2 linked regions of the Neodiprion lecontei genome follow. The protein of the gene in region 1 interacts with the protein of each later gene in a pairwise test. Links are inferred from orthologs where the notes say so. Each region holds a gene or a part of one and is shown on either strand. Other genes may lie near its edges.

What was found.
Region 2: the proteins of vam6/Vps39-like protein (region 1) and proteasome subunit beta type-5 interact in a two-hybrid assay, tested with the Caenorhabditis elegans proteins (2 studies listed by BioGRID). The link is inferred for Neodiprion lecontei from reciprocal best matches to the Caenorhabditis elegans genes vps-39 and pbs-5.

Annotation. Positions count from the first base shown.
Region 1 is NC_060265.1:27,124,415-27,131,337, forward strand, and holds vam6/Vps39-like protein, read right to left. Parts: upstream 4,799-6,923; 5' UTR 4,603-4,798; coding exon 4,533-4,602; intron 4,415-4,532; coding exon 4,241-4,414; intron 4,161-4,240; coding exon 3,908-4,160; intron 3,813-3,907; coding exon 3,580-3,812; intron 3,493-3,579; coding exon 3,248-3,492; intron 3,166-3,247; coding exon 2,722-3,165; intron 2,637-2,721; coding exon 2,319-2,636; intron 2,201-2,318; coding exon 1,774-2,200; intron 1,713-1,773; coding exon 1,602-1,712; intron 1,501-1,601; coding exon 1,176-1,500; intron 971-1,175; coding exon 907-970; 3' UTR 576-906; downstream 1-575. Other genes in the region: N-alpha-acetyltransferase 38, NatC auxiliary subunit, read right to left, coding at 5,021-5,263, 5,439-5,504; H/ACA ribonucleoprotein complex non-core subunit NAF1, read left to right, coding at 5,834-6,678, 6,789-6,915. UniProt on the Caenorhabditis elegans protein: Plays a role in vesicle-mediated protein trafficking to lysosomal compartments including the endocytic membrane transport and autophagic pathways.
Region 2 is NC_060262.1:42,577,936-42,582,913, forward strand, and holds proteasome subunit beta type-5, read left to right. Parts: upstream 1-1,918; 5' UTR 1,919-1,977; coding exon 1,978-2,121; intron 2,122-2,402; coding exon 2,403-2,553; intron 2,554-2,810; coding exon 2,811-3,023; intron 3,024-3,648; coding exon 3,649-3,882; intron 3,883-3,949; exon of another isoform or gene 3,950-4,006; coding exon 4,007-4,116; 3' UTR 4,117-4,210; downstream 4,211-4,978. UniProt on the Caenorhabditis elegans protein: Component of the 20S core proteasome complex involved in the proteolytic degradation of most intracellular proteins. This complex plays numerous essential roles within the cell by associating with different regulatory particles.

The sequences.
Region 1 (6,923 bases):
CACTCGGTACGTCTCCTCACTCACACGACCGGCGCGCAACCAACTGTGCAATGCAACACGGCGTCCAGACCTCGCGGAGAAGAACTAGTCCCGCCTACTCGCGCGTCGCGACGCCGAGAATCACGTTCACGGCGAAATATTTGGCCGCCGTAAAAGACGACGGTGTATCCCGAACGATAATTCATCCGAAAAGTGAATTGCAGACTCCGATTTCATGCGTTTTTAGTCAATTTCAGGGATCACGCATGTAAACTATAGACTCACGGACTATAGTGACATTGGGCGTATGAATACACTAAGAGTATGACATCATCGGCCCCGTTTACACATTTTGCCGATGGGCACGCCCCATCCTTCAATGATCCTTATTATTTGCTGTATTTTATATTTATTCGATACTTAATACGTTATTATTGGGCGATAATCTCGGCACAGAAGAATCGTTGTATCCCGGGCACGATCTTTCGGCTTTGAACGCGTTCGATCAATCTTAGCAGATGTAGTATCGTTATATATTTTATCCATAATTTTGTGTTATCTTACACTAGGAATGAGAGTGACTTGGCTGAAAGAAATTATTTTTTGACCAAACTGTTGGCAGATATTTAATTTACTGATCATATACATAGCTACTGATTCGTTCGGTGCATTTGCACCTTAAGATTATACAGATACAGGCCTGGCAGCTGTTATATAAGTATAGTAGGTTCAACAGTCCAAGATTTACCAGCCGAGCATATGCGTTTACGTTGAAACACATAAAATAAATTCATAGGTAATATATGCAATAATAGATTCTTTGACTTCAATACCTTTGCACGTTTACTTGGGGATCATAGTATAGTAGTATTTATAAATGTTCGATTTCGATAATGTAAAATTATATACATATTCTTTTCACATACGTTACGCCTTTTTCTCTTGACATGAATAGTGAACAATATCACCATTGGCATATCTTGCAAATGCACTGTGAACAAAAAGAAAAACATAATTGTAATTAGTTTAGAAAAAACTGAGTAACACTGTTTCAAAATTTGTAATTTGTATGGTCCTTGGAGCGTATACCAACCAATCAATGTTTTTATTAAGTTTAATGACAATATGCAAGGATCATTCAGCTATAATCACAGTTATGGTTCGGTTAACGAATAGAGATTTTTGAAATGATTTACCTTTGATTTCCAAAACGTTTTTTGCATACCGGACAAATATTGAACTCCGTTAAGAGAACGCTCTGGGACTCGTAATGCATTCTTTGCTCCTGTACCTGGAGGTGTTCAGCATAAAGCAAGCCTTTCAGAATTTGGGTCCTTCGTCGTTCATTTAGATTATTCTGCAAGCTAGCCTCGAGGAAATGTCTTATCCGACCTATTGGTACATTGTCAGGCAAAACCTCCAAGGCTTTCAAGGGTTCGATTTTTGCAGCATGTTCCTCAAGCAATTCCAAAGCTGTTTCCAAGTCAGGTTGAGCTGTCCTTCGGTTCTCTGGAGTGCACCCTACAGTATAAAATAAGTTTACCAACAGGTACACTTAAAAGCGCAACTTCAAAAAATATTTCTGTAACACAATGCGAATCTTGAAAATGATAGAGATTTACCAGTAGCTACCAAGACACCTTCGTTGTCCGGCTTCAAAAGTTGCTTGATCAAAGTAACATAGACTTCGTCGGCCCCATCTTGATTTTTCCCCTTTTCTGAATTTTTCTGACCTTCAATACATATTCATCATGTAGAATGAATATTTTTATTATTCATTTAGATGATACCAACCTTCGAATTTTGCATATACATTACTGCAGAATTGAATCGCCTTGGGGACGTCATTTAATAAGTTTACATAGATGGAGATGGCCTGCTCGTGACGACCCAATCGTCCTAAAATAATCGCACGTTCTTCGAATAGGCAATTAAATGGTAAATGAACTAGGACCGTTTCTGGCGTGTAATGAGTTGACTTCTCTAAGAATTGTTGTAGTTTCTGTCGAAGGTGCTGAACATTTTGCTTTTCAGCCGGCGAAGCATTTGGGTTCAAGCCTGCTAAACACTTCTCTTTATATTGGTGTACCAGGACGTTGTGAAATAGAGGATTGTTATCCATCCAAAAATGAACCACATGCTCCAAGTACGTTATCACCAAGTCTTTGTGACAACGTAAAAGATAATCCAATACTTTGGGACGTGGCAAATGTTCAACTTCCTGTCGGCATTAAATATGTACAAGTTAGTAAAATAACGGCAGGGAGCTTCCACAGAGTATTCCATTCACAGAATATAAGAAAGATGAAAAATGTGGGTATGCTACTAATTATTATTACCTGCACATCTTCCATAAATATTCTGAGGCCCTGTTCTGGGTCCTGTTCCAAAACCCATCCAGAAAACTTCAAAATCAAATCCATATGGTCCTTACCTAGGTGCTGTAAGTATTGAATTGTTCTCTCGGTACCTCTTAGACTCGAATCACTTTCGTTGGATTGTTTCTCAAGCAACTCTAAAGCCTTCTTGTGCTGACCTTTTGTTTGATATAATATAATTAATTCTGGGTATTTCTGATATTTCAATAAAGTCTTCTCCGATTCTGCTAAATGGCAATGGTTTAAACGCAACAGTGGCGCTACCAAGGCATCATTTGTCTGTAAATGTAATTTATTGTAAGATTGAAGACTGCATTTTATTCTGAATAGCCAAAATATTAAGTAATACAAAATTGAGATTTACCTGTAAGTAACATTTGAGTAATGTTGTATCGATTATTTTTAAAAGCTGCTCTGTAGCCACAGCTGTTATATTCTTGGTTTTCTCTCCTTTCATTGTATCTTTCTCACTATTTTTCTCATTTTCTTTATCTTTTGCTTGCGTATCACCCATTAATTTATGTCTCACTTCTGTCAAGAACTTAATCAAGGCAAGCAAGCCTTGTTCCAAATCACGGTCTTGCAATATTGGCACAGTTGTAACATGTTCGCTAGTTTCATTGGCATTGGTTGGCTGGGAAACCAGATCAGGGAAAAGTCTGATTACTTCGTACGGATCAGTACCTGATTTGAAAAACTGCTCCATAGACTCGGCAAATTTTTTATTAGCAAAAAGATAGTGGGCGTATAACGTTTGTATTTTCCACGTTTTTTTTGCTTTTTCTTCTTCTGTTATGTCAGACAAATGCTAGAAACAGATAATTTACCATGATCATTGGTTGTTTAAACAATTATTTTATGAATTCTTCAATAATAAATGATATGCTCACAGTTAATTTTAAAGCCAGCTGAAACTGATTCTGTTCAAGAAGTGTTCGAATCTGATGCGTCACCTCCACGGCATTTATACACCAAACTTGGCTAACTGATGCTACATAAACAAGGCCCTTTCTACACCTGCACAATAATCTAGCTTTGTTAAGTTCTGGTATCGTTTGAATGTGTAAACAACCTTCCAAGGTATAAACTTCCAAAGTATCGTTAATTATACCCATGAGAAATGGATCATCCCATGCTAGAAAATAAATATTCTCGCAATATATTTTTTAATATCTCGAATTGAATTGTATTTAAGAAACACTGTTTTACTGATTATTGATACCTGTAGCACTAGGCGAATCTGGCCATTTGACAGAGTTGTGTTGGACCAATTCTCCTTTTGTGTTCATAAGAATTGACTGTGAATCTTTTCCTAAAGCAAAAGACGTGTCTGACAGTTTTGTTATCCCTGGTTCAGGAGACTTTCCACTTGGAAATAATTCCTTACTTGTACCATCTAGATCCAAAAGTATATAAGATAATCCACGGAATCCCAAAACCACAGTTTCTCCGCACCTACAGCGTAAAATGTTCCGAGCAAATTTAAATAAGATATGCAACCAATTGCTGCTCAACCTTTTTCTTTTACAATCTAATAACTTGTTTCGTACCACGACAAGACTCGAGGCACATCAGGAACAGTTAATTCTTCTCCAAAGTCTATAAATTGATCCACCTTCCACTCGTACAATTGTAATTTTCGCTTCACAGCAACACACAAGCGAACAATTGTATCTTTTTCACCTGTCAAACTCTGAGTACGTTGTACATCCAACACGAAGAGCGTCGCACCTTTCGTTTTTTGCAACTGACATATTTGAGGGATTGTTGCAGAATTTAAGTCATGTACGCAAATGATGTTGTCTAAAACATTGATTTTCGGACATTGTTATCGCCTTATTGGCAATTGAAAATTCAAATTTTTATTTTCTTATTCGACTCACCGGTCAAAAGTATCAACAAGTTGTACTCTGGTACAACTTCGATCTGCAAAATAGGTTTTTTGCTAAAGTTTTTACCGTATCGAAGCAATTGTAATTCTTGTTTGTCGTTTGACTTTGGAGGAACACTGTACATTAACAAATGTCCCTGTCTAGTGCCGATGAGTAAGTTATCATCTGTAAGTAAAAAGTTTCACTGATAATTCAAAGTTGCGTTTTATATATAATTTAGAATACTGCACAGTTATTTCAGTTAAGGTGTAGAACGATTGAGGTTATGTTTGGCGCTCATTACCGTAAGCAGTAATTGATTCGATCTGAACTGTCAATTTCAAGAGAGGTGAAGCTTCGTAGGCGTCGTGCATCTTAACACTCCGTTTGCACAAAGATGTTTGGATCTTCACGGTATTTTAACACCGTGGAATCTTACACTGACATTTCACTCCACGACGACGTTTGGGGTTCTGCTTCTGTCAGTTACCGTGCCACGCAGCACTTGTTTACATTAAACGTTGACGTCAGCTGGTTAGGTATTCAAAAATGGTGTCTCCACTGACTGACGATGTTACTTTTAAAGAATATCAATCCAAAAACCATCATTTTGTTTGAGCCGAGGGCTGTGCCGATTATAATAACTTTGTAGACAACAATGACCTTTACAGGTTACTTCAGTTGTGCTGGATGTTGATATTTGTGAGAGAATCGTAAGATAATATGTTACTAAAATGTATTGACTGGTCAATGTACAGACGTAGAATAGTTTATTCTTATACTTATTATTAATTATGCGTCTAAGTGAATTGTTACAATGTGTCGACCTGGCACCATAACAAGCCCCAGGGCTCTAGCTTCGGTGTGTTCTTCTGACAAGAATTCCGAACACGAGCCTAAAATAACATTGGCATCACGATCTGTACATAAAAAAGCCCCCGTCAAAACTCGGCCATCGGTCATTTTGATTTTAAGGTGACGATTCAGCCATCCTCTCAATTTTAGTTTGGCTGGTGATTCCTCCACTGGCAAGGCCTGAAAAAAACATGAATTAAAACAAATCAATTATACCTCATGTGTTTGTTCAGTTATGGATTGTATTAGCTAAAGGTAGTCATTTTTAATTGAAATAAATAATACCACATTTTTAGACAAAAATTTTCTAAATTATCATAACCGTCACATTCGCTAATTGTCACGATCCAATTACCTCTCCGTTACCGTGAACAGCCTCAGTATTTGGAGTTGTCGACATGCTGTGCACCGTGTCTTTCATATTCTTGTTGATTTATTAGGATAGGTGAAAATCTAAACGTATTATACAATTACAATCAGTTTGCTTGCGCAATTTTCCACAAGTAAAACCAGCAACAACAAAATCGTTGACAAAATAAAACCGTTCCTGACATCTATCAAAGTGTTGAAGAAACTCGGTGGAAGTTAGATAATACCGAGCTAGAGGGAGCGGAAAGTAGCTGAGACGGCGGAGCTATGGCGCATGGTATTTTTTAAACTTTCCGCGGTATGTACATCATTAACTATTGTTCATTTCGCATGTAAAAATACTGTCTACACCAAAGTAAATTACCAATAAATCATAATACCATGTCTTCCGAGGGCGTAAGGGACCCTGAGAATCAGCGCGAAGATATTCTTCTAACCTCAAAATCAAGCAGGGTGGATATCGGTGAAGAGAATGTAAGAGACACTGTAGATGATGTAAAAATTGTATATTCTAACATCAAAGATGTCACAGAGAAAGATGAAATTACGGACTCGATAAAGTTGCTTCAACATACGTCAGAAACAAGTTCGAAGCATGATCTAATGGAGATTGACAGCTCGTATATGAAATCAGTAAATGATTCTGTCGAGGCCAATGTGACCACTGAGGAAGGTCAGATTAATGTACCTATTAGCATAGATGATGTCGAATCCTTGAAAGTTGTTGGAAATGGACTTGATACTCCAGAAATACAAGAAAGACACGCAACTCGGACAGCAAATTTGATCACATTGCCTGGTCAACTGGTTGCTCAAGACGCACAGAATGACAGGCCTATTGAGATCAAAAATAGTGATCAAAATGAGTTGATGCAAAAAGACAAAAGCGTTGAGAACGCAGCTTCGATGGATTTAATAAAAGCTCAGGCAGCTTCAAACTCAAGGGATGGTATCTCCAAAGTAGAGGTAATAAACGTAGTAAATTCCTTATCGTATTTAGCGGCAGAATATGCAAGTTCTGATTCGGATGAAAATGAAAAAAGACCATCATCACCATGCGAAGTAATTACCATTGTTGATGACCGTGGCAATGTGAGACAAAATAACACACAGTATCGAATGGAGTCTATAGATGATGACTCTGAAAGTGGATCTAGTAGTATAAATTCCAGTGGTAGCAATTATACCACAGAAACCGATAGTGATATTGATAGCGAATCAGACAGGTAAGACATTGCTAAATATTCCTTACCTGATGTGAAAAATTGCTTGTTGATGAATACTGCAGTTTGTGTGGACAAGATTTTGTTTGTGACGTATGATTGTTACATTGCAGCCCTATACGGGTCAGTAAAATTGATTTACCAAAAATCAAAAATATTAAAAGTGAGTTTGAGGGTCTACCGCCAATCGAAGAATTGAAAATTACAGTACCTGAAGAATCATGTGACCACCTAGGCGAGGTAAATAT
Region 2 (4,978 bases), on another chromosome or scaffold:
CTCGCCTCTAGTAAATTTACATTATATCAAGTATCCAACGTCATTCATCACATCTATTACGCTAAAAGTTTAATCTATTTTTATACACGCGTTACAAGTTTTACTTATTTACTACACCTGCAAGCATGGTAATTGTTGTAAGCACAAATTTTCTCCCAAACTGAGGTAAAAAGTGCGACGGGTCTCTTATTGTTAATTAAGTTGAGTACCCACTACAAGAAATTGATATATATATATATATAATATGATATAATTGATATATATATATATATATATATATATCATATTACACCTACATGTATATACGTAAACTATTGAACATTCGCAATTGAAACTTCAGGTTTCCCGAGATTCTTAATTAAGCCATAATCGTAGAAAGTTTTCTGGGCAGACAATGTGAGGTTTTTTTTATATATAATAAGGTGATTTCCTTCAAGATGCATGTATGTTATTATAAAAATTCCAATCTCAATTTACATTCCAACAATATTCCGTTCAAAATCTTGCGTACTACCTGTCAAGCATGCGTATTTTAGAGTTCTATGTTCAAAAATGTACCTAACTGATGTGGTTCTGATTGTGAGTCGACTGATTGTAATTCGGCACCATCTGATTATGAGACGTCTCACATCCATTATACAGGGATAAATATTGACTGCGATGTAACACTGTATATTACACCTAATTCAGAAAATTCACACATCTGTCGTTCGATCAAACTTTCCTCAATCCTTCAATACGGCGGTTACAGAATTATTTAGAATCTCATACAATAATGTATAGGTATATCATCTTATATTGAACAGCACCTGCATATCTACAATTGACAATCAAAATAATTTCTTAATTGAAGTCTATACACACTATGCATAGAATACGTATAAAAGAAGTCTGTAACAAACTCTGGTTGTTAACGTCAAAATAAAAGCGATATTCTGTGTCATATAATATACACACTGTGCGATTCCCTACTTCAATAGCGATTACTATCGGGTCATGTGCCCTATATTCGCCCTTTGCATTCATCTCCCTAAAGTATACATTTAAACTTTTAAACAGCTCGATAAAGTTGCAAAGATTTTCGGAAATTTCTTTCAAACCTCATGGCGCTGGTAGAGAATTACAGAAAACTGTTGCACCCCCAGACTCTTCAACTTGAAGGCGCCACTCAGGCTGAATTTTCACGGGCGGCAAATAGTCGAGGCGCGCTAGATATTCACCTCAGACTACGCGGATGCTGCATGGATTTCCATGTAACTTTTTGCAATCTCTTTGAAATTGAATAAGAATCAAAGCCTGGACTAGAAATGCTGCCGTGGTATTTTGGTGCAGAGCTATCCACCAAAAGGAATGACAATAAATTAGAGAAGCGCTACTAAGAGTCCCTGCAAAACGGACTCTAGCGCTACCTGGCGCGCAGTGGTTGCGAATTACCTATTTTCTTGGCATTTCACGGCAGCAAAATACTGCAGCAGCATTTTGCTGTCCGTGAAAATCTGGCTCACCAAGTTACATACCTAACATACATTAGGCTGAAACTTAGGTTTGTTTTTGGGTTTGTTTTTGGGTAAGGGAAGCTGAAGGATCGTTGAGAAGTTGCTGCATTTTGCTATACCAACTGGATTTCACATTGAAATCGCACAAGACGAGTCGAAAAGTGCAGGCATTGAATAATCGTATTCAAACAAGAATAAAATACCCAAACGTGACCGACTGAACCTATTGACGTGATCACTTACCATCAAACACTGCCAAATTGCTACAATTACGGATGAGCATTTTGCCTACCTTACCAACCGAACTGGCACGAAAAATTGCACGATATAGCAGTTATACAATGATTGTTACTCAATGACGCGGCATAGTGAGAGCACTAGAGCTCTGTAGAGCTCTGTGGCGTCTGTGGTGGCAAGTGGTGGCAACTCGTGGTTCTTCGCAGAGTTGACAAAGTAGTTCGTGATTGTTACAGTATCAGACATGGCGCTCGCTGAAGTTTGCGGAGTAAATTCTTACTTGGATTTCAATTTACCCAGAAATAATGACAATTTTCAAGGGGAAATTGAAGCCTACAGCAAGAATTTCAGCAACAACTTGAATTTGGCTATGCCTCCGTTCGCAAACGTACGTATTATCTTTAATATTTGTCGAGTTTGACAGTTCCTTGTAAACTGCATCATCATCACCGTTACCCTGTTCATGAATCGGCTGTTCAGTTCCAAATACTGAGTACAGCATATTGAGCTGCCAAAAATTTGTGACATCTGCTGTTGCGTTCCTTTAATTCCCAAAACTTACACACTTCATAACTACTTATTCGGCACATAATTCGTACCATCCATCGATGATTGGCTAACCCTAACCTCTATTTAACCCATTTAAACATTAAACTAATCACCCAATAGCCGGCTGAAAATTTGTCTCGATTCTCGACCGATGAAAATGGAAGAAAATTGAAAATAAATTTCGATCATGGCACAACGACCCTTGGATTTCGTTACAAAGGTGGCGTCGTTCTTGCTGTGGATTCGCGTGCTACTGGTGGCCAATTTATTGGTAAGTTCAGCAGCCGTAATTTTATTTTGTAGCCACGTCTTGTACCAGATACTCAAACAACATTTTTATGAATTGGACAATTACATTCTGATGTAAACTTAAATAAGGGGCGCAACCACTAGCGCATGAGTACGAGATAATAAAGACTATGACGATACACCATTTTGTCATTGCGATCCTAAATTGAAGTAATTTTATACCTTGACATCCTTATTACAGCACAGGAGGAAATTTCAATCATTTTATATTCATTGCAGGGTCTCAGAGCATGAAGAAGATCGTTGAGATCAATGACTATCTTTTGGGAACACTAGCTGGTGGTGCTGCTGACTGCGTCTACTGGGATCGTGTCTTGGCAAAGCAATGCCGGATGTATGAGCTTAGAAACAGAGAACGAATCTCTGTTGCTGCTGCAAGCAAACTGATGTCCAACATGGTTTACAATTATAAAGGAATGGGCCTTTCTATGGGTATGTTGCGTTGGTTCATGAATTCATGAAGATGAATTGTCCTACGGACATCATAGTTTAAGATGAGATTTAGGTACTTGAATTAGTTAGAACATTGCACAATGTACAATTCGAATATAAATAATGTAATTTCAATCTCGGATAATACGAAAAACATTCACAATTCAAGCCATCGTTATATTCCCTCTGCTTGAATCCAGAAAAGTAACTGTCGAATTTATAATTCGGAATGCATAAAATTGCAACAAACTTTTATGTTTTTAAGTTTATGTATTGTGACGGGCATTTCCAACGGGTCCCAAATAAATGTCTCACGGCTTGGACTGGATCGGGATCCCGGACGATTACCCGACCAGCTCAAGAAATGCCATGTTACAGCATATTCAAAACAGAGCGATGCATGATTATTTCATACATAGGCACACGACATTATTCCGTTTCATCCGAGGTTCTTCGTATTATCCGAGGATACACCTCGGTTAATGTGGTGTGCTGGGGTGAAATGGGTGTCTCAGATAATCGGAATCTCGGTTAATCGAAAATCAGCTAAGCGAGGTTCTAGTGTGTTATGATAGAGAAAATAAGTTTTTATTAATAAAATTGCCAATATTATTGTCACTAACAGGAATGATGATCGCCGGCTGGGATAAAAGAGGGCCTGGCTTATACTATGTTGATTCAGAAGGAACTCGAACAGCCGGTCAAGTGTTTAGTGTTGGTTCTGGCTCTGTATACGCCTTTGGCGTTTTGGATTCCGGTTACCACTGGGACTTGACAGATGAAGAAGCCTATGAATTAGGGAGAAGGTCCATTTACCATGCCACTCACAGGGATGCGTACTCTGGGGGTATAATACGAGGTAAGAGTGGCAGTTGTAATCGAATTCCCCAATTTGTTGTGAATTCCGATAATAATTACAATACAACTTTTGGATTAACCATGATTTTATTTATCAATCGATTGTAAATATATGTTAATTTCAGTTTATCACATGAAATCTACTGGATGGGTTCACATTTCCGACGAGGACTGCAAGGATCTTCATTACAAGTATCAGGAAGACAAAGAGAAGCTGAGAAATGTACGACAGTAATAAAATTTTCATTCAAGTGTATCCTCAAGAATATATTGTATTGCAAACAATCGTCATTTTGTAATTAATTAAAAGTTTTTTCGTATTGCATAAATTATACCTATATCTCAGATCTCTAACATAAAGTATATTCCATTGTAAATATACAGGTTCATTGATTTGTTGCTGAACGTGAGACCCCGATCAGAGAGAGTCGCTGATAAAACAGCTACGAGAGTCGCTTTCTCGTTCGGCAACAAATGAATGACGCTGTATGAACATTTATGTTATGCTTGCACTGTGATTCATATTGCAGTACTCCTCATTCCGATAATCAAAGTGCATATTTCATGAACAAATGATACGGACAAACGAAATAGATTAGTTGAGTCGTTATCGCAATTTGATTGATCAACAACAGTCAAAGTACATGTGATTATAAATTTAACATATTGTCGACACGATACAATGTATCTGTGTTATTGCTGTGTTGACTGTTAAGTTTGGAAAAAAAAAATTTACTCGTCTTTCTTTCCACTGAAAAAAAAAAAAAATGAAAACACGCAGATTGGCTGATTCGCACATAGTACCGCGAATCGCGTTGATATTGTGAGTGCCCTTGCGTCCGGCCGATCACGACTCGTCCTTTTCCATCGAATACGCGACTTTGCATAAGAACAGAGATCGTCTAACAGCGCTTTTTCCAGAAATATGTATCTCCATAGCTTTTTCGCCGTCTAGCCAAGAGTCGCTTTCGCGTCTCTCGTGCGGTCGTTCGGGTCCACTGAAATATAATTATTACAATTCATTGGTTTTGTCGCAGTGGGACGACATCGTAAATATCAATGACGTGAAATTTTTATTTTTTCCTATTTTGTAATAA